7 linked regions of the Cricetulus griseus genome follow. The protein of the gene in region 7 interacts with the protein of the main gene of each other region in a pairwise test. Links are inferred from orthologs where the notes say so. Each region holds a gene or a part of one and is shown on either strand. Other genes may lie near its edges. The genes, in order: Psmb1, Deup1, Hsbp1, Mfap1, Dctn2, Fam161a and Kifc3.

Region 1 (4,075 bases), on a different chromosome or scaffold from region 7:
CCAGTCGAATAGGATTTTGCACTTACAGTGTTACCCTCGGCAAGCTCCCTACATCCTCCACTTAACGCCATAAAGCTGAATGGTAGTAGCAGCTGCCTCCTAGAAATTTGTGATTTCAATGACACGAATAGCATACCCTCAGTGAAAGTTAACTGGTATCTGAAGAACGACAACGACACAGGGGAGGTGGAGTCACAAATTCATTTACATTTTAGCTCAGCGACGAACAGCTGACTTCTGGGCTGTTCCAAGAAAACAGCAGTTGTCTCTTAGGTTGCTTCTTAACGTTTGATTGAATTCCAGCGTATCTTGATTTCTTCTTGATATGGTTCACCTAGGCAGAAAGGAAGTTCTGCTTATTCCCTTTCCCTTGGATTTAGCACTATCAACGAGGTGATAAGCTCCTTTAGGTTAGGGGTGTGTGTGAGAGATGGATATTACCTGTGTGTGTTATGTGCCTAGGGTGTTGACCTCTGCATGGATTCTAATAAGTACAATAGTATTGGTTACCTATTTTCTTCTAAATGAAACATTCTCTCTTGGAAGAATAGTGAACCTTAAGACATTAAGAAAACTTAACAAAGGCCTGACAAGAGGCAACTTAAGAGAAGGAGGTTCCTTTTGGCATACGGCTTGAGGGGTACAGTCCACCATGGGGAAGCCTGACGTCTGGAGAAGGGGGGAGTCACACTGCATCCGCAGACCGGAAGTCTAAGGAGATGAATGTTAGTTTGCTTTCTTTCTTTTTTTCCCCCTCCTTTTTGTTCAGAAAGCCAGGCAATGGGATGGTGCCACCTATATTTAGGGTGGGTTTTCCCTTCTCAGCTACACTGTCCTGAAATCACCTGCATAAGCATGCCCGCGAGGTTTTACTAGGTGATTCTAGATTCTGTCAAGTTAATACGATCCATCAGGCTCTGGCTGGCGAAACCTAGTATCGCTTCCTGGATCGCGTGGCTGCGTATACCACACAGCTGACCATGCATCTTGACCACTAGGACTTGAACATAGCAGGAGCTGCAACTCCTCAAATGCCACTTCACCAATGTGACAATCGGAGCTGTCATTGCTCTGCAACTAGTTTTTGTTTTTTTGTTTGTTTTTGGTATGGCCATGAGTGAATCGAATGTTTTCTTGGGGTTGGAAAACAGGTCTCCTGGAATTAATTGGTGGACCCCAAGCTGGATATGTAGCGGGGCATAGGCACAGACCTCCAAGAGCAACGACGAGTGCGGGCTAGAGGAGCCCGGTGGGAGGGGCGGGTCGGGTCGGAAGTGGACCTGTCCCGGCGGCCATTTTGCTGTGAGACAGCAGGAGCGCGGTGTGATGCTCTCCACGGCTGCTTTCGGGAACCCCGAGCGGGAGCTGGGCATGGGGCCTCACGGCTCCGCCGTCCCTGTGCAGATGCGTTTCTCGCCGTATGCCTTCAACGGAGGGTAAAAGCTGGGCTCACCTGGGGCGGGCGGGCGGCTGTGGGGATGCAGCCTGTCGGGGCGCTCCGCAGCCCGGCTCCCGGAGCCCTGCACGGACGCCTTCGGGATCGCATGCTTCCCGCATTCCTCAGGGCAGGCGCCCACCCTAGCCCTCTGCTCCTAACACTGTCGTCTCTTGGGGCTTGAACACGTCCCCACAGCCAACGGGCGAGGGGGGCCCTGTCCTCAGCACTGATTTGTCCTGGTGGCTTTGTAGATCACTGTTTTGTTTTTTTTTTCTCTTAATGCTCGTTTGGTTTAAGTTCAGGGATGAAATAGGGGTTGTTTTGTTCTACTCTGCGACTTGGCCTGCTGGGCAGGTTCTGCTGAGCTGTGTCCCCGGCCTTAGACGGTTGACTATGTGTGAGTGTGTGTGTGTGTGTGTGCGCGCGTGTTCTGCTGAGCTGTGTCCCCGGCCTTAGACGGTTGCGTGTGTGTGTGTGTGTGTGTGTGTGTGTGTGTGTGTGTGTGTGTGTTCGTGTTCTGCTGAGCTGTGTCCCCGGCCTTAGACGGTTGCCTGTGTGTGTGTGTGTGTCGTGTTCTGCTGAGCTGTGTCCCCGGCCTTAGACGGTTGCCCCCCCCCGCTCTCTGTGTGTGTGTGTGTGTGTGTGTGTGTGTGTGTGTGTGTTCGTTCGTGTTCGTGTTCTTACTCTGAAATTGCTTGCGCCTTTAAATTATCCGCTTTGTTCGAAGGGATGTCTTCACCTCGAATTTAGGACCTTTGGCAATATAGGTAGTTTTCATCAATTTTATACCTATAAACAACCAATTATCAAAAAAATGTGGCTTGTTAAGAAAAACATTCAGGCAGTGGTGGTGGCGCATGCCTTTAATCCCAGAGGCAGAGGCAGGTATGGATATCTGTGAGTCGAAGCTAGCCTGGTCTACAGAGTGAGTTCCAGGACAGCCAGGGCTACACAGAGAAACCCTGTCTCGAAAAACAAAACAAAACGAAGAAGAAGAAAGAGGAGGAGACAGAAACGAAAAACAGTTGGGATAATCCCAGCACTCGGGAGGCAAAGGCCAGTCTGGTCTGCAGAGCCAGTTCCAGGGCTATAAGGAGAAACCTGTTTCAAGAAAAAAAGAAAAGAAAAAAGATTAATTATGTCTTTATGGATGCTGAAAATACACTATATAGGCAGTGAAATACTAATTTTAGCCTTGGTTGTGGCTTTTGAAGAACAAATGTGAGTGTGTGCTATGTGGGTTCCTTTCAGTTTCTTGAAATAATATGTTGAAAGAGACTCAAGGTGGTTACATTTTTGTAAGCTGGCTGCAAGCAGTTAAGGGAATATTTCATAGTGTTAGTCCTTGGCTCTTGGCATTTAAACAGCTTTGTCTAAGAGCTTGTTCGAATTAGAACCAGTTTTAAATTCTTAACTTTCGTTTTCCAGTGTTGGTCTTAACTCTGCATGTGAACACTAAGTACTTACATTGTAAGGCTTGTTAATAGTGTTCTGAGTGCAATACTCACTATTTACCTTTTAACCTCCTGTAGTTCCTCTTCATCTGTTACTTTCCAAACAGTTACTTACAGTTCTATTACCCCGCCCCCCTTCCTTTTAGAATTTTTGCAACTAGCCGGACAAGCAGCCTCTGGTTCAAAAGATGGTGTTAATTTCTCTTTGTAGCTTCCAGATTTTGTTACTGAAGACCTTTACATGCCTAATCCCTGGGAACATAATTCCAAAATCCATTTCTGTAACCTTATTTCTCAAAGGCCCCTACATTTTGACTTCTTTGGGAAAACATTTCTAAAGTGCATTTTCTGTTTTCACCGTAACTCATGTTAGTATAAAAACAAGCAGGGTGGTTATTCCCTTTCAGTCACTTCTGCTCCTTAAAAAGTGCCCCTTGTGATTATGTCATCACTCTGCCTATCTTGGGATGTTTTAGCTGTTTTTCCCACAAAACATATTTAGGTAGTTATAAAAACTCAGTTGCATACGTTGCCGATGTGTTTTCCTTTTTCTCCCTCTTCATCCTGCTTCCTATCTCATCACTCTGACTGGAACAGTATTGCTATCCCATTTCATATACTGTATTATTGCCAGAATTGTCTGAAAACCTGTTTCAAATGGAACTTTTCTCATTCTTGATTGTATAAGCTTTGGGACTCCTTGCTAAAATTGTAAAATTTAGCTTGGCACTTGGGATCTTCTACAACAGTTCATCACAGTGTGTATGTTTCTAGTTACACAAAGGATCACCTCAATTAAGTTGCTTGTAATGTCTTTTTACCTTCTGTTGCTGTTCATGGTTTGTGGAATGTCATCCTCTCTGCTTTAGTACAGAACTGGTTTCTGTAAAATACTGGGTAATGTTTCCTGGGTGTTTATTTCCTAGAAGGTTAACTATTGTAGGTACTTTAATGTGAATTATGTAACACAACAGGTACTGTCATTACCATCATGAAGAATTTATCCAAAGTCTTACAGCTATTAAGTGGCATGAATAGGCCTCTCCCTTAAGTAACAGTGCTCAGGTGCTTAGTCATACAGTACAGCCCCACCATATGCCACAGTGATGGTTGTTCACTTACTAGACCAGTCATGCAGCAGTCAAGTGTCAGGTGGACTTTATAGTTGTCAGCTCATTTTATC
Region 2 (3,980 bases), on a different chromosome or scaffold from region 7:
AGTGCGTTATTGTGGTCAGTACCACAGATTTTAAATCAGTTCTTGTAGAAGGACCTGTTTTCACTTCATGGTACAAAGACTCCACAGACGGGAAGCTAAGGCCTATGTCTGACACTTCTACAGATAAGCTATGTGACTGTGGACCTGACAGACGTCCCAATGTGTCTCTGTCACACCTCCTAGAGTTATGACAGACATCTCTGTGAGTCTATTTTCACTTGTTGGATCCCTAAGCACTTAGCATTTGTTCAAATTACCATATCCACAATAATTAGCATATTCTAAAAAAATGGTGTTTGTTAGATTTGGTTTGGTTTCAGTTTTGTTTTGGGGGGTTGTGAGTGAGTGTGTGTGTGTGTGTGTGTGTGTGTGTGTATGTGTGTGTGTGTATGTGTGTGTGTGTGTGTGTTTAGCTTTTTTGTTTTGTTTGTTTTGAGTTTTGTTTTGTTTTGTTTTTTGATAAGTGTCTGAAACTCACTATATAGTCTAATTGGCTGCCTGAACAATCCTTTTGACTCTGCTTCTTGAGTCCTGGGATTATAGGAGGGTAACAATATTTTTTGTATAAGTACAACTGTAATGTGCTAGCTAGTCTTATGTCAGTGTAACACAAGCTAGAGTCATCTGAAAGGAGAGAACCTAGATTGAGAAATATCTCCATAAAATCTGACTGTAGGACATTTCCTTAATTAATGATGAATAGGGAGGGCCCATCCCATTGAGGATGGGGCTATCCCTGGGCTGGTGGTCCTGTGTTCTACAAGAAAGCCGACTGAGCAAGCCATGAAAAGCAAGCCGGTAAGCAGTGTCCCTTCGTGGCCACTGCATCAGCTCCTGCCTCCAGGATCCTGCCCTGCTTGAGTTCCTGTCCTGACTTCCTTTAGTGATGGACTACAGTGTGGAAGTATAAGCCAAATAAACCCTTTCCTCCCCAGCTTGCTTTTTTAGTCATGGTGTTTCATCTCAGCTATAGAAATCCTGACTGAGACAGGTAGTATTGTCTCTGGAATTACCTTTTTTTTACTTAAGGGATTAGCCTGAAGCTTTGAGGTTTGTTTCTATTTAAACAATTGAGCCATTTGAGGAAGCAGCAAAGCTACCCAGGATGATGCAGGGATCCTTCCTGCTCCATCTTCCTCTTGTGAAGCTATCTCACTTTTCTACATTCACCAGAGCTTCTCCTTGTGAAGCAGAGCTTCAGGAACTGATGGAACAAATTGACATCATGGTGAGCAACAAGAAGTTGGACTGGGAAAGAAAGATGCGGGCTTTAGAGACACGATTAGACCTTCGTGATCAAGAGTTGGCCAATGCACAGACTTGCTTGGATCAGAAAGGCCAGGAGGTACTGAGTACACATGTCAGCAAAGTGTTCACGCACCAAACTCATTTGTCACTTACAATTCTGTCAGCAAACTTGGTGTTAAATGTATGCTATCAAATAGATGCAGGGATAAATCAGATATTTACTAATGGAGACACTCACTACACCAATGCTGACAATAAATGTAACAGACATTTAAGGTACATGTGAAGTAAGAGTGTTTGGAAACAAAAGTAAAAATGCTTTGGCTCCTACAGAAGCCCTGCCATGGAGACCAAAGCTGTCTTTGTTCAGCAGAGCCCAGGAGTGTTTGCTGCTTCTGATCTGCTGGAAAATGTTTTGTGAACAAGCATGTCAAGAGTTAATTGCCAAAGGAGAGTGCATTTGATGAAAGTGTGTGTGTGTGTGTGTGTGTGTGTGTGTGTGTGTGTGTGTGTGTGTGCTTGTGTTTGTGTGAGTGTTCTCATGAATGCATAGGTGTGTGGGTGTGTGTGCTCATGTGTGTGCAAAGGTATGGGGGTATGGGTGGGTTTGTTCTCCTGTGGGTGTGTGCAGGTATGTGTGTGTGTGTTCTTGTGTGTGCCTGTGTGTGTGTGGGGGGGGGTGCTGGTGTGTACCTGTAGTGCCCACTTAGAATGGCTTCCTTCCACTCCTGTAACTGCTCACTCCTGAGCTGGTGCACATAGGAGATTGTGAAAGACCTTGGGGGTTTCAGAAAAACATCTGCAGACCTACATGTCTGGACTCTTTTGGGAGTCAGGAATCATACGTCATCGCAGAAGTTTTCATCAGCCACTTTCCAGCTCTTTCTGTGGACTTATGGATGGTTTGAGTTTTGGCAAAGCTGAGGGCGTTGGTGTTCTGCAGGTGGGTGTAGCTGTGGTTTCCCTTGGCTCGAAAGGCAGGTCCAATGGTCCTGGTATATGCAAGGACCTACAGTGACACAGATATATAAGTAGGTGTCTCATCCGCATTTAAACAGAGTAATGCAAACCCTTAATAAGTGCTCTTAAACATTTTTATTTCCTCATTAATATGTTAGTTTTTATAAAATGCAACAATTATCCATTGGCCATGAAACTGGTAAGGAATGGAACCTGACCAAAAGAAAATCTTTGAGTTACCTTAGTAGAAGTTCTACATGAACAGCAATGGCACAGCCTGCCAAACAGATCATACAGAGTAAAGTCTAAATCTTAATTTAAAATGCAACAGTGACAAGGATCTCTTGCTAAATATACTTCCATGCTATCCTAATACACAGCCAGTGGACCGGGCTAGAGATGTTTGCTTTCTGTGAATTCAGTTATTAGTAGTTATTTTAAGAACTGCAGGACAAATATTTACTCTTGGCTCAGTGCAGCAGTTTAACTTGGATTGCACTTCTTCTTTGCACATTTTCTGATTTTTTAAGGTAAAATTCAGGAAAAAAGCTAATTTAAAGTTTATTTTTAATGCAGGTGGGGTTACTTCGACAGAAGTTGGACAGTCTAGAAAAATGCAATTTAATGATGACGCAGAACTACGAAGGACAGCTACAAGCCCTGAAAGCTCAAGTAAGAGAACCTGTTAAATGTAACATTACATGTTTTGACCTATGATATGTTAATTTTTTAAAAAAATGCTTTGCATATAAGCAAATGTTCTTGTATCTTAATTGCATGTTCATGTCTGGCTGCCATTGTCTTCTGTGTCCTGATTGTCTCTCCTACAAGGCTGTCAACTCAAATACCATCTGCATGGCCTTCCCTATGACAGGGCACTAGACAAATAACTTTCTGTCTCTCCAGAGGCTATTTTTTATGATTATTATTAGTTATGAGAACAAAAAACGAAATTCTCTTCTATGGTTATTTCTGGGGTTTCCACTGCAGCCTAAAAATATGGATGGTTGATACTATGAAGTAAGTAGCAGAAAGTGAGTGAGTGAGAAATTACGTAGCTGAAAGAACAGAGCTGGCCTTGCTGCTGGTGGCTGTTTATAAATGGCATGCCTCTGCCTATGCTGTGAGAGGGTACCAATTTCTTTGTCACCCATCACTGCAGCTCCCCACGAGGCTTGCCCCAAAGTCTTGTCTCCTAGCAAAAAAAGTCTCATAGGGCAGGAGTCACCTCAACATCCCAGGCCCAGCAGCTGCTTGAGTCCTTAACCTAGAAAAGGAATCAGTAGGGTGTGTGGTGTGATTGTGAACTCTGACCACCAACGTTTCTTGGAAAGCAAAGAGTTCATATGTAATAACCTGGTTAAGGGAGCCTGGAGTATCCGATGCTCCTCCTTAAGTGCTATAAAGGGGATACAGCCATTAAAAATGGAGTAGGAAATATTTGAACCCATTACTTAACTGTTATTACAGAATGTTTCCGACTAGCTGTCTATATTTTGCTTGCAATTCAGGTATGTGCCATGAGAAGGCAGCTTGTACTATGAATCTGCACACAGTTTTCTGAGACCAGAAGCATCTAAAACTTAGGGCAATCAATCTTGTTTTTTTTTTCCCTCATACAAATATAGCAACACAAATCTGAATTCACCTGACAGCCCAGTGTGGGTATGTCTGAAGCTGCTGGACAGGTAGACTGGCTGTGTGTTTCTCTGCCCTCTTCAGCACAGCTGAAAGCCCTGGACATTGTAAGACAGCATGTGTACCTGGTAGAA
Region 3 (4,202 bases), about 25 Mb from region 7:
AGGGTGTTGGATCCTCTGGAGGTGGAATTGCAGACAGTGGTGAGTGAGGTCTCATGTGACTGCTGGGAACTGAACTTGGGTCTTCCACAGGGCATACGTTGCTTTTAACACCTGAGCCATCTCTCCAGACCCTTATTTGGACATCTTTATTCAAAATTCTTTGAATCCACTTCCTATTTTCATTCCTGTCTTTGTGTTTCCCTGTCAGTTGAACATCTTCAATCATACAATCTTTCAGTTCTTGACTCATGGGGGTTTTCTGTCACAACATAGCACAATCCCCTAGAGCTTCCAAGATCCACTCGACACTTTGCAGCTCTTCTCTAAATAGGACTGAAGACGACACAGCACATACCAAGCACTGATGCGCATCTCATAGTTAAACAACCCAATGTATTGTTTATGTATCTTGACCCTCCCAACCCCCATCTAGTCTCCTGGAATTCAGAACAACCTATTTCAGTCACTGAAAAGCTGGTTCAAGGCCAAGCCCAGAAATAACCTTTAATCCCAGAATCTAGGAGGCAGAGGCAGAAGCAGGTGGGTCTCTATGAACCTGAGGCCATCCTGGTCTATACAGTAAGTTCCAGGCCAGGCAGCCAGGGTTTCATAGCATGTCAAAATAAAAAAAATAAAAACTGAGGGCCCTTCCTCCACAAACACAAGTGAAGCTACAAAGAAATTCACTACATTAAATGGTTTTGTGCTTGTCATCTGATATCTGAAATGATTCAGTGGAAATTTAACTCAGTCTAGAGTAAAGGAGTCGAGTCCATGATAAAAGTCACAAACGTCTCTAGAATTTATAATAGATATTTATGTAAGTGACCTGAATTCTCTGCTGTTTGTAAAAGAAAACAATGAAATAATCTTCCAGTGGCCAGGGTAGGGCACCAAAACACATGCCCAGAAATGACATCACCTGGTGGTCTTCAGTTGCCAGCTCACCAGCCAGAGACATGTCCAAGTTCCAGGTGTGTCCTATGCAGGGCCCAGGATATGAGTGAGGACCGTCATAACTTACAATTAAAACATCAAAGGACTATAGATGGCTCAGCGGTTAAGAGCACTTTTTCTTCTCGGAAAGGACCTAGGTTTGATTCCGAGTACCCGCAAGGTGGCAGGTCTTGTCTGTAACTCCAGTCCCAAGGGATATGATGCTTTCTTTTGGTCTCCCATAGCATTAGGTTTGCATGAGGTGAATATGCAAGCAAAACACTCATATATAAATATTTAAATGACTTCTGTCTTTTATCAGCAATTTCACTCTTCTTTAAGTGTGAACATTATTATGTGTATAGCCTGGACATGCCCAGCAGTGATTCAGTTTTAAGTAATGAAACTTGGAAATGTAAATTCTACCTAAGGAATTAGTTTGGCATGAGCAGTTTCAAAACATGGACTTTCTAGGTGGGGTGCAGAGATACTGGCTGGGAAAAGACACAGGTGAAATCTATCAACGACATCAACCTTACACTGATGGCCACTTTGTGTGCTTTGCGTCAGCAAACTGGTGCCCTCCCTTACCTTCAACTTTTCTGTGCAGTAGCAATCTTGTTTTCCCCTTCCAGTTCTTCCACACCAGCCTGGGTCATGAGGTCAGCGATATTTTTCTCCAGATCGTCAATGCGACTGCTCATGTCATCGAGTGGCACAGTTAAGGAGCCCACACACCAATACCCCACTCTGTCCCCATCCTCCAGGCCCCTGAAACCTGGCTTAAGCAGCAGCTGCTTTCCCTTTCTTCTGGCTACAGTGACCGCCTGGCGGTCTGAGAGGTACAGGGGACCCAGGTAAGTTACTTTCCTAAACCCCGGTTTCCTCATTCATTAATCCCAGAGGACTCTATCCCATGGGTAAAGAGAGGAAGAGTGCTCAGTGAGCACTCCCAGCCGACATAGCCTAGCTCCTTTACTGGTGTTCTGGAGGACCCCCAACAGGGAACTTGGGTAGCTTGGCCACGTCTCTGGCTCTTGGCGCAGTCCTCAGGAACACAGTATAGCCAAGATCAGTGAAGAAATTTCCAAGTGCGGCTGGAGAGATAGCTCAGGGTTATGAGCATTTGAGGCTCTTGCAGAGGGCCTGAGTGTGGTTCCCAGTACCCACACCCGGCAGCTCACAACCACCTGTAACTCCAGCTACAGGGGATCCAATGCCTTTAGTCTCTTCACTCACTCACGCGCACCCATAATATACATAATTAAAAATAATGACTACCTGAAGTCGGTTTGCAAACCTCCCGCTTATCCCCACCATTAAGAAGCTGCCTCCGAAGCAAAAGGATATTCCTTCCAATGATCTGATCCGACATGATCTGAAACTTGTCTTGCATCTGCTGCAAGAGCGTCTCCACCTACGAGAAACCAGAACAAGTCCGCCGATTCCAGCTTATTCCGAGACCATTTTCCTGGGAGGAAGGGGAGGCCAGGGGGTAGGGGAGTCCCGGCAGGTGGGCGAGACCTTTAGCGAGGCCCTGCCAGGTCGGGTTTGGTATTCCCGCGGGTCAGGTCGTGAGGGTCCGTGCCGGGGCCGCAGGAGGGCGAGCCCCGCAGGTGCGCGGGCCGAGGCCGCTGGCCACACCCCACGCCAGGGCCGAGAGCGGCCGCGGAGTGTCGGAACCCAGGTGAGCCTGACGCTTACCACCAAGGTGATGTCCTGCATGGTCTTGGGGTCCGTCTCGGCCATCTCCCCGGTGCCCAGCTTGGCGGCGATGTCTCGGAACCGTCACCTACACTTCGGTTTCTTGGCGCAGACGCCCCCCAAGCCACCAGTTCTCGCGACAACACAGTCACGGGACCGCGAGGCATTGTGGGCGTTGTAGTTCCCGTCACGTACCGGAAGGACCTGGGAAACTTCAGAGCGTCCTGAGGACAGGCTCCGCCTCCCCGGTTTTAGCTCTGCCTCCATCCCCGCCCCAGCTCTACCCTGAATGCGGCAGGGAGCGGAAGCGGAGAGAAAACCGGAAGTGGGCAAAGGTTAACGGGGATTAACGTTTTTTTTTTTTTTTTTCCCTGTGGATGTAGTCAGGCCTTGCGGGTGAAGGCGCTTGCCACCAAATCTGATTCTGGAGTTCGATCTTGCATGTTGGAAGAAGAGCCCCAGCTTTCACAAATTGACCTCTGCCCAGCACACATGTCCTGTGACATACACATATACATATAATTTACAAAATAAATAAATGTAATTTTAAAAAATCCCTTAGAGTTGGTAAGAGTGCACTAACTGGATGTCTGCTCTTCACCAAGACCTATTCTTGAAGACATGGGCCAACAAGTATGTGAGGCCCGATATCCTACTTACTTGGGAGGGATCCTGAGTTCAAGGTGTGACTGAGAAAACTTACTGAGACTCTGTCTCAGAAACAAAACAAAACAAAGCAAAGACCTAACAAGCAGAAAGAGGGTGGAATGGAATGTATTCAGTGGCAAAACACTTGCCTAGCACAAAGAGACCAGCACTGTAGAAACAAAACAAAACAAGAAAGCTCAGGCTACCACCCCCATCCTGGATTGGCACATAACACAGTATACCCAGTTTGCCAGGTATTACTGTTGAAGGGACCGCCCCCCCCCCCCCCATTTGGGCAGCCATGACAGTAATATGTGCTCGCTATGACCTTGTCTTAGTCACTAGAGGTCAGACGCCTGCCTTGTGACAAGGAACCAATCAGAAGTTAGCTGGTGGTGCTGTGCTTTACGACCCTGGGTGTACTTTACGGGCAAGCACACAGCAATGACGTACAAAGCATAGCAACCATCCTGGGAGGGCCTATGGGCCATAACAACCAGTTGGCCAATCAACACAGGGCAAGCCCTCCAAGCCTGGAGGGCACACCAATCCTGAGCCTGTGCGTACCCCTAGACACTCCCCTTACGCTGCCTTACAAGATCTCTCGGGAGCCCCTAGGAGCTGTCTTTGCTAGCCATCCGCCATGGCGGGTGGGTGAAAGACTGGAGCTAACACGGGGTTAGCTCGTTAAAACAATAAAGCCTCATGCAGTTTGCAGCAAGCTCTCGAATCCGCCTGGTGATTGGGGTGATCGTGGTCGTGGCCTGGGACCCCGGATACCTGAGTTTTCCGGGGGTCTAACACTGTGATGGAAACTAACCCGGCTTCTTTCAACCATATGGCTGCCTAATGCTAAGTGGTGCAGGTCTCCATTTGTGTACAAGAGGGGGCAGTGTCAGGGGTGAACCGGGACG
Region 4 (4,283 bases), on a different chromosome or scaffold from region 7:
CCTACATGACAAACAATTTTACATACTGAGACCCCCTGCCTGTCTCCCCAAATTGAAACACTATGAACTGGGAAAGTTCAGGATAGCTTGCCTGCTCTGATGTCTAACTGGGAGTTTTTCCAACATGAGTTTACATAACATAACTTGTCTTTTTTTTTTTTTTTTTGAGACAGGGTTTCTCTGTGTAGCTTTGGAACCTGTCCTGGAACCCACTCTGTACACCAGGCTGGCCTTGAACTCAAAAAGATCCACTTGCTTCTGCCTCCCGGGTGCATGGGATTAAAGGTGAGCCATTACTGCCAGGCCCTACTTGGCATTTTTACTTACTAGTCTTTAGAACAAGTACAAGAGCACGGTGTGGTGGCTCACACCTGTACTGTCAGTGCTGAGAGGACTGAGACAGGAGGATCATTGCCAAGTTTCAGGTCATTCGGGGCTACAATACCACAAGAAACAACTATATGTCCAGGTGGTGGCACACCTTTAATTCCAGCATTTGGGAGGCAGAAGCAGGCAAATCTCTTGAGTTTGATGCCAGCCTGGTCTACATAGTTAGTTCTAGGATGGTCAGGAATATATAGGAAAAACCCTGTTTTGAAAACAAACAAACAAAAAAACCCAACCCCCACAACCAAAAAACCAAAACAAAAACCCAAACCCTATATGAATAAAATCAGTTTTTCAAATATTTACTATAAAAATATTTTTATAGTGAAAAGACTCCCTGCAACAGACCAATCAATGCTGTTTTCTCTTTATCAGCTAATTAGAGTCATTAGGCCTATGGAGGTATTTTCTTTTCCCCCAAGACAGGGTTTCTCTGTGGCTTTGGATGCTGTCCTGGTACTAGCTCTTGTAGACCAGACTGGTTTCAAACTCAGAGACCCACCTGCCTCTGCCTCCCGAGTGCTGGGACCAAAGGTGTGCACCACCATCGACTAGTGGAGATGTTTTCTGAAGCTGCTACTCCTTGGCTATATAACTTTGGTCATGCCACTTCCCTAACCCTCTGCTGCCTTAGTTCCCCACCTGTGATATAGGTATAGTAGTACCAATTTTGTAAGATGTTCTACAGATTGTAAGAATTAGCAAATGTAACTTATTTGGGATAGTATATATATGGCACACAGTAAGCACAAATATTATCAACTATCATCTCCATGACAGGTCTCAGTTCAGACAAATGTAACTCTTGTCATACCTCTCTTCCACATCTTCACTAATGCGATTCTGTAAACGCCGAAGTCGGGGGTCACTGGATGAATCTTCCTCCTGTTCCTCAGGCTCTGCTTCTTGTTCCTTAGCTTTCTTAATGAATTGAAATTCTTCATCCTCTTCATCTGAGGACTCCATAGGGGCATAATCTGGCCTTTTCCCAGATACATAACGTTTTACTTTCACTTTTTCCATTGAAATCTCACCTGGACAAGAAAGATAATTTGTTTCAGTAACCTCTTTCCTAATTCCCTGCAATTCTTGGCCTTTGCAGATAGAACCCTAAGTTCTTGATGGAGCAGAGTCTAGAGAGGATATGGCAGTTATTATCCAAGTACATATTCATCTATCAGTGGGTTCCTATAAAGACTATGGCATGGGAAGGCATTTTATAAATACCAAAACTAAGACATCAAGAGGTACCTCGGGGACAACAAAGTAGAAGACTGTGAACAATGAAACTGCAGACCCTCTCTCCCTGCCCCCCACCTACAAATTGAGGCTTTGTCATCTCAACCCTTAGTGGTGATTTGAATGAGAACATGACCCATGATCAAATGTTTGAACACTTGGTTCCCAGCTCCTCTCTCTGAGATGCTATGATAGCCTTTATAACATAATTTAATATTCTAATTTTATCAATTTTTCTAACCCTTATGCTGAACCAGATGTTCTCTAAAACACAAACAAGTTGGAGCTGAAGAGATGGCTCAGCAGCTAAGAGTACCTGCTGCTCATGCAGAGGACTGGATTCATATTCCAGCACCTACACGGCGCAGTCTGTAACAGTCTGATACTCCAGTTCCAGAGGATCTCATACTCTCTTCTGGCCTCTCTGGGTACTGAACCCACATGGTGGCTGGCATACACACACAAAAGCAGAACATCCATACACATGTAATAAGAATACAGAGAAACCTTGTCTCGACCCCCCCCCCCAAAAAAAAAGTGGAAATCCTTATAACCACCTGGGAAAAATCAAAGATAGCTTGGATATAACATACACACAAAGATCTCCAGCTCACTTATATTTTTACTTTTGTTACTGTTTCGGTTGTGAGTCTAGCCTTTAACGGCTGAGCCATCTCTGTGGCTCTATTTTTTATTATTTTTAACGATGCTGTGTGTGGATACGTGCAGGTACCAGCAGAGGCCAGAGGTTTTGGGGTTACAAGTGGTTGTTGAGTCGCCTGATGTGGGTGCTGGAAACTGAACTCGGGTCCTCTGGGAAAGCAGTACGTGCCCTTAACCGCCGAGCCACCACCTCTCCAGCCTCCTTTACTTTTTACTTTGAGAGGTGATCTCAGCAGGTCGATCAGATAGAGAGACGCAAGTGTATTCCGCATCCCTCAATCTCTAGGGTACATGACAGGGTGCGGATTCAGGTGGGACGGAGTCGGTGGGGCTGAAACGGCCAATCTAAGGCAGGTTTGAGGGATACTGAATCAGTAAGAGGTAAGATCAGACAGGAGGAGGGAGGGGAGGGGAGGGGAGGGGAGGCAGTACCTTTCTCATTGCGAACTGGGACGGCCCCAGCCGTAGACTGAATGGGCGGCTGCTTCATGAGTGCGCTTGGGACCGACATGGTGACGGCCGCGGTGGAGACTCCCAAAATTTGATTAAATCCCAACAACGAAGTCCAAGGAACACAACACCTCCTCCCACCTAGCGCCGCCGCCAGACGCTGCTGCGCGACTGACAGAAACGACTTCCGGCAGAGCTAGAGGAACCGGAAATATGCCGGCAGAGGATTGTGGGATTGCGGAGGGACGCTGAGCGCGGGCTGCTTAAAGGGCCAGGCTGAAATTTTACGCGTCTTCGTAGGTAAGTTTCCCGCCTTTAATCTCTGAAGATTTGGAAGCTCCTTTTGGCGGGCAGTTGCTTCTTTGAGGTTTTGGTGAGGTTCAGGAGGGTTCGCCTCGCCCTTAAAGGTTTCCTTTGTTATGTTTTGGAGAAACGGAGCAGATAGTGAGGGGCTGCTTGTGCATCTTGTTGAAACCCCAGAAGTGTGGAGTCTGAGCCGGATATGCGGGTCACGTTTGTAATCCTAGCATCTGGTAGGCTGAAACAGGATAGCGGCGTTTGGAGGCCAGTCTGGGCATCAGAATGAGACCCTGCTTTTAAAAAAAAAAAAAATCCCTAAGGGCCATCTGTTGGTTGGAGCACACTCCGGAGGCTGAAGCAGGCGGATCTCCGAGAGATTGAAGCTAGTCTGGTCTACAAAGACAACATTCTGGGAGTTCAATATTATAGATGATCTTGAAGGTGCTGTTAATATAATTGTCAAATTATTTCACTTGTTTTCTGCAATTGGGCTCTTGCTGGTTGAAGACTGAAAACTGGCAAACTTTAAATTAGTGAGTGCTTACAATCAACGAAACAAGGACGAAGCCTAAGCACTAGAAAAGCCTTAAAAAAGGCAAATGTAGATGGAAATCTTTATTCTTCTTTATTTAATCTTGAGACTGTGTTTTGCTGTGTTGCCCAGGCAGGTGTTTTGTTTTTTTGTATGTTTTTTCACCCTCGATTTCTGAGTTGCTAGGATTAAACACACAGGTGTGTCACTTACAGAAATTTTATATTATGAAACCGGGTGGTGGTGGCTCACGCGTTTTTGTTTTTTTTTTGTTTTTGGTCACCCCTGGCCATCTATAGGTTTTCTTTAGTTCAAAACAGGTGCATTTTTAAAAAATTTTATTTATTTATTATGTATACAACATTCTGCTTCCATGTGTATCTGCACACCAGAAGAGGGCACCAGATCTCATAAAGGATGGTTGTGAGCCACCATGTGGTTGTTGGGAATTGAACTCAGGACCTCTGGAAGAGCAGTCAGTGCTTTTAACCTCTGAGCCATCCATCTCTCCAGCCCCGCCAAGTGCAATTTAAACCAGCATTATCAGTTATTAGAAACAAGCAACACATAATGCATCTTTTTTTTTTCTTTATTCTCCTTATTTTGAGACAGGGGTTCACGTAGCTCCGGCCTCCCTTGAACTGCCTGTATAGCTGATGACAACTTTGAATTCCTGAACTACCTGCCTCTACATTCCAAATTAGGGATGACA
Region 5 (3,141 bases), on a different chromosome or scaffold from region 7:
CTGTTCAATTCAGTCTGCTGGGGGCAGAAGAGACGACTCAGAGGTTAAGAGCACTGGCTGCTCTTCCAGAGGTCCTGAGTTCAATCCCAGCACCCACATGGCAGCTGATAACTGACTGCACCTGGAGTTCTAGAGGATCGGACACCCTCACATAGACATACATTCAGACAAAACACCAATGTGCATAAAATTTAAAAATAATTTTTTCAGTCTTCGGTTGTAAACTCCACACTGGGGGTATGGTAGGGGGCTGGAAGGATTAAGAGTACTGATTGCATCAGGATAGCCAAGTGGTCTAAGGTGCCAGACTCAAGCTCAGCTTCCTGGGGCACCTGGGAGGGGGGATAGGGTAGGGAAGATCACTGGCTGCTCCTCCAGAGGACGCAGGTTCAATTCCCAGCACCCACATGGGTCCTCACAAACTGGTGTAACTCCAGTCCCAGGGGACCTGATGCCCCCTTCTAGCCCCATGGTCACTGCATGAACATGGTACAGGGACACACATACAGTCGCAACACCCATACATACATATAAATAAACAAACAAGCAAATAAACAAATAAATAAAACCACCTGGCTGTAGCTCTCTTTGAGGGGATAGCCATTTTTTCCTGCTTCATTTCTGCCACCCTCACTATCCCACCTCTTTTCCTGTCAGACAACTGTGAAGGAGTCAGCCATCGAGGAGAAGCTGACCCCTGTGGTGCTGGCCAAACAGCTGGTAGCTCTGAAGCAGCAGCTGGTGGCTTCCCACCTGGAGAAGTTGCTGGGACCAGATGCTGCCATCAACCTCACTGACCCAGACGGAGCTTTGGCTAAGTGAGTGCCTTCCTTGTGGAGAATCATTGCTGAGGGGAACTGTGGAGGACCTCAGCCAGACACAGACAGCAGGAGGCGGGAGGAGTTAGGAGGCAAAGGAGACAGAAGTAGTCCTCAGCCCCAGGTCATGCTGTTAATGTTCTCCTGACCCAGGCGCTTACTGCTGCAGCTGGAAGCAACAAAGAACAGCAAAGGGACTTTAGGGGGAAGGGCCACAGGTGGGACCCCTCCAGACAGCAGCCTTGTCACTTACGAACTACATTCTCGGCCTGAGCAGGACAAGTTTTTGCAAGCTGCCAAAGTAAGTATCCCTTTGGAGGATCAGGCCTGGGGATAGTTCTGGGGATGCCTTTGATTCCCCTTGAAGTTGCACTCTCCTGTCTCCCTTGCATATCTGTTTTTTGAGGCAGGGTCTCACATAGCCTAGGCTAACTTGAACTCAGTACCTCCCAAGTGGTACATCTAATTCAAATTTAAATTTAAAACTGTGCCTAGGCATGTGTTTCAAGAAAGGAGTCCCTCAGAGCAGGAAAGCAGAGGGTGGGGGTTGGGAACCTCACCTCCTCCTTCTCCATAGGTTGCAGAACTTGAAAAGCGCCTGACAGAGCTGGAGGCCACTGTCCGCTGTGACCAGGATGCTCAGGTCAGGGGCTGCCCCTCAGGTCCAGTGCTCCCCAGAATCTGGGAGGGGTCAGCTAGGAGGTGCCAGCTGGAACCAGGAGTGATGGAAGAAGGTAGTTAATTCTGTGAGGTATGAAGACTGATTTCTGTCCTCTGTTTCCCATCAGAATCCCCTTTCTGCAGGTCTACAGGGAGCCTGCCTTATGGTGAGTGTGCAAGAAGCTGGAGTGTTTGGATTATAGGGGCGATGGGAATGAATTACTTAGAAGTACTTTGGGGTTTATAGTGCTATATTAATTAGCTCCCATGAATTTTTTTTTTTTTTTTTTTGGTTTTTCGAGTCAGGGTTTCTCTGTGTAGCTTTGGAGCCTATCCTGGCACTCGATCTGGAGACCAGGCTGGCCTCGAACTCACAGAGATCCACCTGCCTCTGCCTCCTGAGGGCTGGGATTAAAGGCGTGCACCACCAACGCCGGGATCCCGTGAAATATTTAAGACCTTTTCCTAGTCTGATTCTTTTCCTGGTGACACTTGTGCAAAACCTTCCCCCACTCTCTAGGAAACTGTAGAACTGTTGCAGGCCAAGGTGAACGCCCTGGACCTTGCAGTTCTGGACCAAGTAGAGGCTCGGCTGCAGGTATGGAATGGAGTACCACCTGGGTCCCAAGTAGCTGGGACTTTGGAAGCCCTAGGTGTCTTCTCACCCTTAACACCTGTGCTTTCAGAGTGTCCTGGGAAAGGTGAATGAGATTGCCAAGCACAAAGCTTCTGTGGAGGATGCAGACACACAGAGCAAGGTCAGAGAGACCCTCCCAGCTCTATGCAAACCCTGCTCCCCCCAAGGGCCTCCTCTGAGTGCTAACATCAGCCTACAGACTCGGGTCTTATCAGTATAAGAGAAAGTCAAGGCAGTATTTCTATTCCTGGTCAGACCATGATCTCAGCATCCTTTCTGGGCCTTGTCATGTTCTTCCAGGTGCACCAGCTTTATGAAACCACACAGCGCTGGAGTCCCATTGCCTCCGCCCTCCCCGAGCTGGTACAGAGACTAGTCACCATCAAGCAGCTGCATGAGCAAGGTGTGAGGCTGCTCCCTAGGCATGGGGTCCTTTGTGTCCCTCACTCAGCAGTGGCCTCTGCTCTCAGCCGTGCCCCTCTTCGCTTCTCTTATAGCTATGCAGTTTGGTCAGCTCCTGACACACTTGGACACCACTCAGCAGATGATCGCCAGTTCCCTGAAGGACAACGCCACTCTGCTGACCCAGGTGTGCCAATCTTTTGTTCCATCGAAGACCTCAGAGGTTCTCCAGCCCTGCCTCAGAGGGCTCTGTTTTAAGCCTTTGAATGTCCATTCTGTTTTCATAGTCATAGGATCTTTGTGCCCAATCTAGTTCTCTCTAGCCTTGGACTTTGTTTTGGCAGAAGGTGGGGATGTCTCATTCTGGCTGGCTTGAAACTTTTTGTAGACCAGGCTGGCCCCAAATTTGTGACAATCCTCATTTCCTCCCAAGTGCTGGGATTACAGGAATGTGCTGCCTACCAGGCTTGACTGTTTGAGACAGGTCTTGCTATCTACCCCTAGCTAGCCTCAAAATCACAACTAAACAACCCTTGCTGCTTTAGACTCCCAGGTGCTGGAATTAGGCCTGAGCACATCCTGCTTTAATTTCACCTTCTTTATTCATCTTTTGGTTTCTAGTGG
Region 6 (3,500 bases), on a different chromosome or scaffold from region 7:
AGGAGAGTTTATTTGAGTTTTGCTTGCATTAACAGTGAGTAGCCACATGCAGACCTCAGTGTGTGTGTGCAGCTCCTCAGGCCTGTCTCTGCTTCCACCCTGCTGTGTCTCCCTTTCACACAGTTCTTCCAGGCCACAGTCCCCTGCTGTCTTCAGTGTAGATGACATAGGACCTGTTAGAGAGTCTGTGGGGGAGAGAATGAGCCACGGGTGTTCTGTCTGAAAACTGCCCACTGTTCTCCTAGAGGGCATATGTTTATAACACACTGGCAGTTTTACAGCCTGAGTTTTAGGTTTTCATTTATGTTAGGATCATGGGCCTTTTCCTTTGTATTCAGTAAGATCAGGTGGTCCTTCAGCAACCTGCCCTTCCAGACACAGCTCAGTCTTGCGAAAGGAAACACTGCTGTTTTCCTGTGGTGGAAGCTTACATATTCTTTAACTGTACATTCTTTCTTTCCACAAATATGTACTGGACATCTGTTCTTGGTCAGGCTCCTTCCTAGAAGCTGAGAACAAGAAAGAACCCTGCAAATAAACTCTTGCCTTTGTACAAACCCTTCTCCAGCTGGAGCAGGCCCGGGTATACAGATCAGCCAGGACGGGGCAGATGGTGTGAGTAAACACTTCTGGAGAAATGAAGTGGAGAAGAGGACTCAGTGAGTTGGGAGAGTGGCCATTCCAAAGGGGATAGTCCACGAAACCTCTCTGGAGGTGGTGTTTGAGTGGAGAGTGGGCGAGTATGCTGTGCAGACTTCTGGAGTGCGAGCATTGAGAAAGGGGGCAAATGCAGGGCCTTGGGGGAACTCTGCTCATCCCCCCTGCCCCCATCATTTTTTTAAGATTTTTATTTATTTATTTATCTATTTATTTATTTATTTATTTATTTTGTATACAACATTCTGCTTTCATGTGTATCTGCACACCAGAAGAGGGTACCAGATCTCATAATGGATGGTTGTGAGCCACCATGTGGTTGCTGGGAATTGAACTCAGGACCTCTGGAAGAGCAGCTGGCGCTCTTAACCTCTGAGCCATCTCTCTAGCCCCCGCCCCCATCAATTTTTATTTACGTGAGGCAGTTGTCTGTGCAGGTCTAAGTGATTACCATGTGTGCGCAGTGCCTGTGGAAGCCAGAAGAGGGCGCTATATCCCTAGAACGGGAGTTAAGAATTGTGAGTCACCACGTTTATGAACCTGGGACCTGAACCTGGGTCCTCTGCAAAAGCAACAAATTCTCCTAAGCAACTCATGTGACATACATTAAATAGGTCTTTGGCCCTATGAGTTGTTGATAACAAGTTTCTACATTTCATTTGTTTTCTAGAATTTATTCCAAGTGGGACAACACCAGCCTCTCAAAAACTTTAAAAAAAATAGCAACAAAAATCTGAGGCTAGATAGATGGCTCAGTGGTTAAAGCACTTGGTGCTCTTGTAGGGACTGGGATTTGGTTCCCTGCACCCACACCAGGCAACTCACAACCACTTGTAACTCCAGCTTCAGGGGATTGAACCCCCAGCTCCATGGGCACCTGTACTCACCCATGCACACAGGTATGCACATAATCTTAAAAATATGGCCCTCTGTCCATCCATCCATCCATCCATCCATCCATCCATCCATCCATCCCCTCCTTTCTCGTTGTGTTGGGAATAACCCCACAGTCTGGTACATGCTCAGCAGACACCTTACAGCCAAGGCCCTTCTGCAGCCCAAGGTATGATTTGTAATGGACTCTTCTGAATTTTCCCATTGGAAAGGCTCAACAGACTTATTTTATGAAATCATATCATTATTTGAGGAAGGGTTTCTCACTGGAATCTAGAGATCACTGATGAAGCTTCAGGTCCTGTCTCATCTCCCCAATGCTGGGGTCACAAACTTGTGTCACCACGCCTGGCTTTTTTATGGCTTCTTATGCTTGCATGGCAAGCACTTGACCAACTAAGCTGCTTCTGTAGCTCTAGAAAGTGAGGTTTTTATCTCTTTAAAAAGAACAGAACGATGGGTAAAAGGGATGAGAGAAAGTCCAGTCAGAACCCTCCAGTCCTGACTTGTATGTGGAGTGTCTCCTGCATGCAAGTGTACATGCAGTATTTCTCCACGCTCACTTCTCCTGCCCAAACTGTCTGCCATACACAGGTGTTACTTTGCTTGCTGCCCACAGCAGTGACCCTTCTGAAACTCTCTTTGCCCCGTGTCCTTCTCCCCTCCAAGGTCATCCCAGCCTGGGTCCTTGGAAGAGCAACTGAGAACTGTCCCTGGGCCTGCCCTCTCTCCACTGCACACCCTTGGAGCCCCGAGGCAGGGACCCCTCAAGAGCTGGCTGTAGGTACAGGAGAGTAGCTTCTCTCTTGTCAGCAAAGATGCACAACTCAGAAGAGGCTTCTGGTTGAAATCTGCGTAGCAGTGTCCCATTCTGTCTTCTGCAGTGTTAAGTGTCCCAACTTGAATATTTACTGTCAGTTTTCTAGGTACCTAACCATTATAAAATGGATTGAAGCCAGGCTTGGTGGAACACACCTTTAATCCCAGGGAGCAGAAGGCAGAGGCAGCCTGCCTGGGCTACAGAGTGGGACATATGTAAGAACCAGCGTTTGGATCAGCATCAATTGTTTATTTCATTTAAAATAGCATATAATGGATTTCTCCTCCCATCAGGCTAGTGGTAACAGCTTTCCCAGGGAAAAAGAAGATGTGACAATCCAGGACATTGTGGACTTTTCTGATGTTTACCACTCTAATGAAGAGTATTTCAGGAAACTAAGAGAGCTAAAGGCCGCCCATGCAGAAACCATGGCAAAATTAGAGAAAATGTACCAGGACAAGCTAAATATAAAAGACGTCTGGCCAGTGATCACCAGGGAAGATTATTCTAGTGTCTCCTCTAGGTAAGTTTGTGCTCGGTGTCATCTGAGGACTGACCTAAGATAAATATTTAAACTAAGTATGAAACAAAATATCCTGGAGTATTTGCTTCTAAATATCAGGTCCTCAGCAACAGTGAGAGCCTGTCTAACATACATTTGGGGTTTGATCTCCAGCATGGTTTGGAAACAAAATTGAACTTAAGGATGACACTCTTGCTGAAAATGCTTTCCTGCCTCCCACCAAAAACTGAGCATGACCTCCTGTTTCTGAGACGCTGGAGTGTCATGTCTTTGGGTGTCAGATCTCAGGCAGGCCTGGCACACAGGAGATAGACAGACTAGGTCCTTCCTAGTATTAATGATATATAGAGGTGGGATTTTATTCAAAATGTTTAATGGCTTATCAGTTTATTAAGTTACCTCTTGCTTTGAGGGTCATTTAGTGGCCATCTGTTTGCTTGTTTGTTTTTATTGTAATTTAATGTGTTTTTCCTGCATGTTTGTCTGCACCACATGTGTGCCTGGTGCCCATGGAGACTTGTGAGCTGTCATGTGGGTGCTGGGAATTGAACCCAGGTCCTCTAGAAGAGCAGCCAGTGCTCTTAACTGCTGAGCCATCTCTCCTGC
Region 7 (3,500 bases):
TTGCTGACGTAGAATAGGAGTGTGAACTCCGTGCATTAATGTGACTTTGTGTTACTTTCACACTCAGGAAAATAGACTGAGCAGAGCAGGAGCAGCAGGGAGCCTGCCTGCCTTGCCTTGCTGGCCTCCTTTTCTGTCTTTCTCTTCCTCCTGAGCCCCTGGACTCGTCCATTCCCTGCCTACCTCTTCTCCCCACTCCCATTCTCTCTTCCCCATCTGTTCTCCATAGCTTAGTCTCACCTCTTCTGGTGTGCCCTTGCTCATGCCTCCTCTGGGCCCCGGCTCTCCACAGGGAGGCACCGACGTGGAGAAACACAGGGACAGGGTGATGGTAGAGAATGAGCAGCTGAGGCAGGAGCTGAGGCGCTGTGAGGTGGAGCTGCAGGAGCTTCGGGCACAGCCGGTGGTGCCCTGTGAGGGCTGTGAGCACAGCCAGGTAAGCTGACAGACCCCCTTCAACCTGGGTCAGTGGGCTCAGCTGCTAGACATGACCCTATTCCTATCCTGGCTGCCTTGGCTGCCTGCAGGAAAGCACCCAGCTCCGTGACAAGCTGTCCCAGCTGCAGTTGGAAGTGGCTGAGAACAAAGGCATGCTGTCGGAATTGAACCTGGAGGTGCAGCAGAAGACCGACCGGCTAGCCGAGGTAGAGCTGCGGCTCAAGGACTGCTTGGCTGAGAAAGCACAGGAGGAGGAACGGCTCAGCCGGCGCCTGCGTGACAGCCATGAGACCATCGCCAGTCTGAGGGCCCAGTCCCCACCGGTTAAGGTGAGTTGTACTGCCTTGAAGGAATCTTGGGCCCAGGGCCGGGCTTGCCCCTAAAAGGGCCTTGTCCCAGTGAACAGCCTGGTGTGAATGGCCGAGGGGTGCCTGCCAGCCTTGTGCTTTAGTTTGTTCTTTCCTCCCTCCTTCGCTGCCAGGGCAGGCTCTGCAGGGTGTTCTCTGTCTGCTAGGCACAAGTGTTCTTCTTGTTAGTTTGTGCCCAGCCTGGGATCAGTCGGGCTTCCCACTGGCTCCCCTTAGGAAGATGCTGGCAGGCCCTGCAGCATTCTGCAGAACCAAAACCTTTCAGCTCCTGGGAGCAGCTCCTGTTTCACCAGCAGCTGCTGTTGGGACAATCAGCCTTGCTCTGCTCTGTCCTTCCCTCTCTTGGCAGTATGTCATCAAGACAGTGGAGGTGGAGTCATCCAAGACCAAGCAGGCCCTCAGCGAGTCCCAGACCCGAAACCAGCACCTGCAGGAGCAAGTGGCCATGCAGCGGCAGGTGCTTAAAGAGATGGAGCAGCAGCTGCAGAACTCCCATCAGCTGACAGTCCAGCTGCGGGCTCAGGTGTGCAGGCCGAGAGGGCTGTAGTGGGGACTCCACACACAGACTTGGGATCCAGTTTCTCCTTTCCCCCGGTCATATAGTCAAGCTCTGTTTCCTCATCTATAACGTGAGCCGGTCACAGAAGCCCCTTCACCGTGGGGACACAGGGAAAAGATCATGAGGGGCTGTCCCTGGCAGCCCACAGGCCTGCTCAGTAGGTCCTGCTGCTGTGCATGTTACACTCTTTCCAATCTCCTGAGCACATGTGCCTTGAGGGTATGGGACTAGACTAGTACAGGGAGGTGATGCCTGTACAGACTCACAGCCCTGTAGGGGAAAGAAAGCAGGCCATTCCATCCCTCTGCACCAGCCAGGCATATGTCCACTCCCAGGAGAGGGGGGGGGCTTCCTCCCCACACTTGCCCTTCCCTTTCTTACCACCCCACACCCCTGAACCCTTTCCTGGCCTGGCCGTCAGATTGCCATGTATGAGGCAGAGCTGGAGCGGGCACATGGGCAGATGCTGGAGGAGATGCAGTCCCTGGAGGAGGATAAGAACCGGGCCATTGAGGAGGCCTTCGCACGGGCCCAGGTGGAGATGAAGGCAGTGCACGAGAACCTGGCAGGTGAGCCTGAAGCCGGCTCTGCCCATCCCCATGCCTCTGCCTCGAAGCCCAGATGTCTAACACCTTGGCCTCATAGGTGTCAGGACCAACCTGCTAACGCTGCAGCCTGCACTGAGGACCCTCACCAATGACTACAACGGGCTCAAGCGGCAGGTGCGGAGCTTCCCCCTGCTGCTGCAGGAGGCTCTCAGGAGTGTCAAAGCTGAGGTGAGCAAGATGCCAGTCACCTTTATTCAGAGCCCCTATGCAACAGTTTCTTGCCTTGTTCCCAAAAGGCATTCCTCTCATGAGCTCTTATCCATGCTACAGTATCCTTATATCTATTGTATCTGTCTTATATCTATTGTATTTGTCTGGGTCTTGTTACCTAGCCCAGACTGACCTTGACTCCATATTTTCCTGCCTCGGCCTTCTGAGTGTTGTAATTTCTGGCATCTGCCACCACACCTTGGCTCACTGTGTTTATTCTTTATTGCTATGCTAAGGATTGAGCCCAGGCCTTCACACCTGGTAGGCAAACGCTCTACCGCCAAGCTTCATGCCTAGGAGCTCACTTTGTTTTTTAAGCCATCCTCATACAGTATGAGAATAGCTAGTGTCTCTTAAGTGTCTCCCATGTGGCTGAGCCTTTTATAGCCATTGGTTTTTCAAGTTCATATGTCAGCTCTGCTGAGACAGGTATATTCTGGGAAAAGAAAATTGGCTCTTTAAATAATTACGTCAGTAATACCTGGATGTGGTGAAGAATCAAACCCATCATCATTCTCATTAAGGTCCCAGCTCCTTGGAACGGTTAGATGTGAGAGTAGCTGAATCTCACTGTTGCCAGGTACTCAAGTTTCAGGTCTTTGTTTAGTCTTTGCCTAGAGCTCGGTTTTTCTTATCTATAAGATGGGGGTGCCGGCTGTACTTCCTCGGGGATTATTGGGAAAGGTTGGTCTGCTGTGATAGTTTGTGTTGGGTACTCAGCCTGAGCAGGTAAGGGTAACGCATCAGACCAGGTGGCCAGTGAAGGGAAGCTAACAGAATCAGGTCTCTGATGGCAATGTGCCTGCTCCCCAGATTGGCCAGGCCATCGAGGAGGTTAATAGCAACAACCAGGAGCTGCTGCGCAAGTACCGCCGGGAACTGCAGCTGCGTAAGAAATGCCACAATGAGCTGGTGAGGCTGAAGGGTGAGTATCCTTGGCTGCATGGCAGTTGCTCTTAGAGCTGTACTCGCTGCTGCTGAAGATTCAGGGGCCCAGAAAAGTCGGGAAACTTGAAGACACACACCTAGTAAATGGTCCACCTTGGATTTGAACTTGATTATTTTAAAGCTCCTTGCCCATGGTGGGCTCCTCCCAGGTCTGAGGCATGTGGTAGGTCGCTGTGAAGTAGTGGCACTTGTTTCAGGTTGGGGCTTCACTGATATCTCCCTTGAGATTTAGGGGAGGGAGTACCTGCTCCATGCCAGATGTTGTGGTAGACACTGGGGAGACAGCTGTGTCCCCAGACCACAGCCCTCGACATGCTCATGTTGGCTGGGAGAAGAAACAGTGAATATCAGTCACCCAGAGAACCCTAC

The links.
Region 1: the proteins of Kifc3 (region 7) and Psmb1 interact in binary tests that used the Homo sapiens proteins (3 or more experiments, as listed by UniProt). The two-hybrid records come from large-scale screens. The link is inferred for Cricetulus griseus from reciprocal best matches to the Homo sapiens genes KIFC3 and PSMB1.
Region 2: the proteins of Kifc3 (region 7) and Deup1 interact in binary tests that used the Homo sapiens proteins (3 or more experiments, as listed by UniProt). The two-hybrid records come from large-scale screens. The link is inferred for Cricetulus griseus from reciprocal best matches to the Homo sapiens genes KIFC3 and DEUP1.
Region 3: the proteins of Kifc3 (region 7) and Hsbp1 interact in binary tests that used the Homo sapiens proteins (3 or more experiments, as listed by UniProt). The two-hybrid records come from large-scale screens. The link is inferred for Cricetulus griseus from reciprocal best matches to the Homo sapiens genes KIFC3 and HSBP1.
Region 4: the proteins of Kifc3 (region 7) and Mfap1 interact in binary tests that used the Homo sapiens proteins (3 or more experiments, as listed by UniProt). The two-hybrid records come from large-scale screens. The link is inferred for Cricetulus griseus from reciprocal best matches to the Homo sapiens genes KIFC3 and MFAP1.
Region 5: the proteins of Kifc3 (region 7) and Dctn2 interact in binary tests that used the Homo sapiens proteins (3 or more experiments, as listed by UniProt). The two-hybrid records come from large-scale screens. The link is inferred for Cricetulus griseus from reciprocal best matches to the Homo sapiens genes KIFC3 and DCTN2.
Region 6: the proteins of Kifc3 (region 7) and Fam161a interact in binary tests that used the Homo sapiens proteins (3 or more experiments, as listed by UniProt). The link is inferred for Cricetulus griseus from reciprocal best matches to the Homo sapiens genes KIFC3 and FAM161A.

The regions. Positions count from the first base shown.
Region 1 is NC_048595.1:294,438,057-294,442,131, reverse strand, and holds the start of Psmb1 (proteasome subunit beta type-1), read left to right. Parts: upstream 1-1,275; 5' UTR 1,276-1,326; coding exon 1,327-1,436; intron 1,437-4,075. UniProt on the Homo sapiens protein: Non-catalytic component of the 20S core proteasome complex involved in the proteolytic degradation of most intracellular proteins. This complex plays numerous essential roles within the cell by associating with different regulatory particles.
Region 2 is NC_048597.1:129,100,711-129,104,690, reverse strand, and holds the start of Deup1 (deuterosome assembly protein 1), read left to right. Parts: upstream 1-1,180; 5' UTR 1,181-1,207; coding exon 1,208-1,345; intron 1,346-2,059; exon of another isoform or gene 2,060-2,257; intron 2,258-2,784; coding exon 2,785-2,880; intron 2,881-3,856; exon of another isoform or gene 3,857-3,970; intron 3,971-3,980. UniProt on the Homo sapiens protein: Key structural component of the deuterosome, a structure that promotes de novo centriole amplification in multiciliated cells.
Region 3 is NC_048596.1:195,967,628-195,971,829, reverse strand, and holds the start of Hsbp1 (heat shock factor-binding protein 1), read right to left. Parts: upstream 2,801-4,202; 5' UTR 2,686-2,800; coding exon 2,641-2,685; intron 2,354-2,640; coding exon 2,287-2,353; intron 1,649-2,286; coding exon 1,530-1,648; 3' UTR 1,528-1,529; intron 1-1,527. UniProt on the Homo sapiens protein: Negative regulator of the heat shock response. Negatively affects HSF1 DNA-binding activity. May have a role in the suppression of the activation of the stress response during the aging process.
Region 4 is NC_048599.1:56,936,784-56,941,066, reverse strand, and holds the start of Mfap1 (microfibrillar-associated protein 1), read right to left. Parts: upstream 2,801-4,283; coding exon 2,722-2,800; intron 1,422-2,721; coding exon 1,202-1,421; intron 1-1,201. UniProt on the Homo sapiens protein: Involved in pre-mRNA splicing as a component of the spliceosome.
Region 5 is NW_023276806.1:130,449,077-130,452,217, reverse strand, and holds part of Dctn2 (dynactin subunit 2), read left to right. Parts: intron 1-657; coding exon 658-818; intron 819-971; coding exon 972-1,119; intron 1,120-1,395; coding exon 1,396-1,461; intron 1,462-1,606; coding exon 1,607-1,645; intron 1,646-1,998; coding exon 1,999-2,076; intron 2,077-2,164; coding exon 2,165-2,236; intron 2,237-2,415; coding exon 2,416-2,518; intron 2,519-2,612; coding exon 2,613-2,704; intron 2,705-3,141. UniProt on the Homo sapiens protein: Part of the dynactin complex that activates the molecular motor dynein for ultra-processive transport along microtubules. In the dynactin soulder domain, binds the ACTR1A filament and acts as a molecular ruler to determine the length.
Region 6 is NW_023276807.1:83,748,174-83,751,673, reverse strand, and holds part of Fam161a (protein FAM161A), read left to right. Parts: intron 1-2,469; exon of another isoform or gene 2,470-2,586; intron 2,587-2,664; coding exon 2,665-2,894; intron 2,895-3,500. UniProt on the Homo sapiens protein: Involved in ciliogenesis.
Region 7 is NC_048596.1:171,316,985-171,320,484, reverse strand, and holds part of Kifc3 (kinesin-like protein KIFC3), read left to right. Parts: intron 1-292; coding exon 293-436; intron 437-527; coding exon 528-767; intron 768-1,155; coding exon 1,156-1,329; intron 1,330-1,786; coding exon 1,787-1,934; intron 1,935-2,010; coding exon 2,011-2,141; intron 2,142-2,996; coding exon 2,997-3,108; intron 3,109-3,500. UniProt on the Homo sapiens protein: Minus-end microtubule-dependent motor protein. Involved in apically targeted transport. Required for zonula adherens maintenance.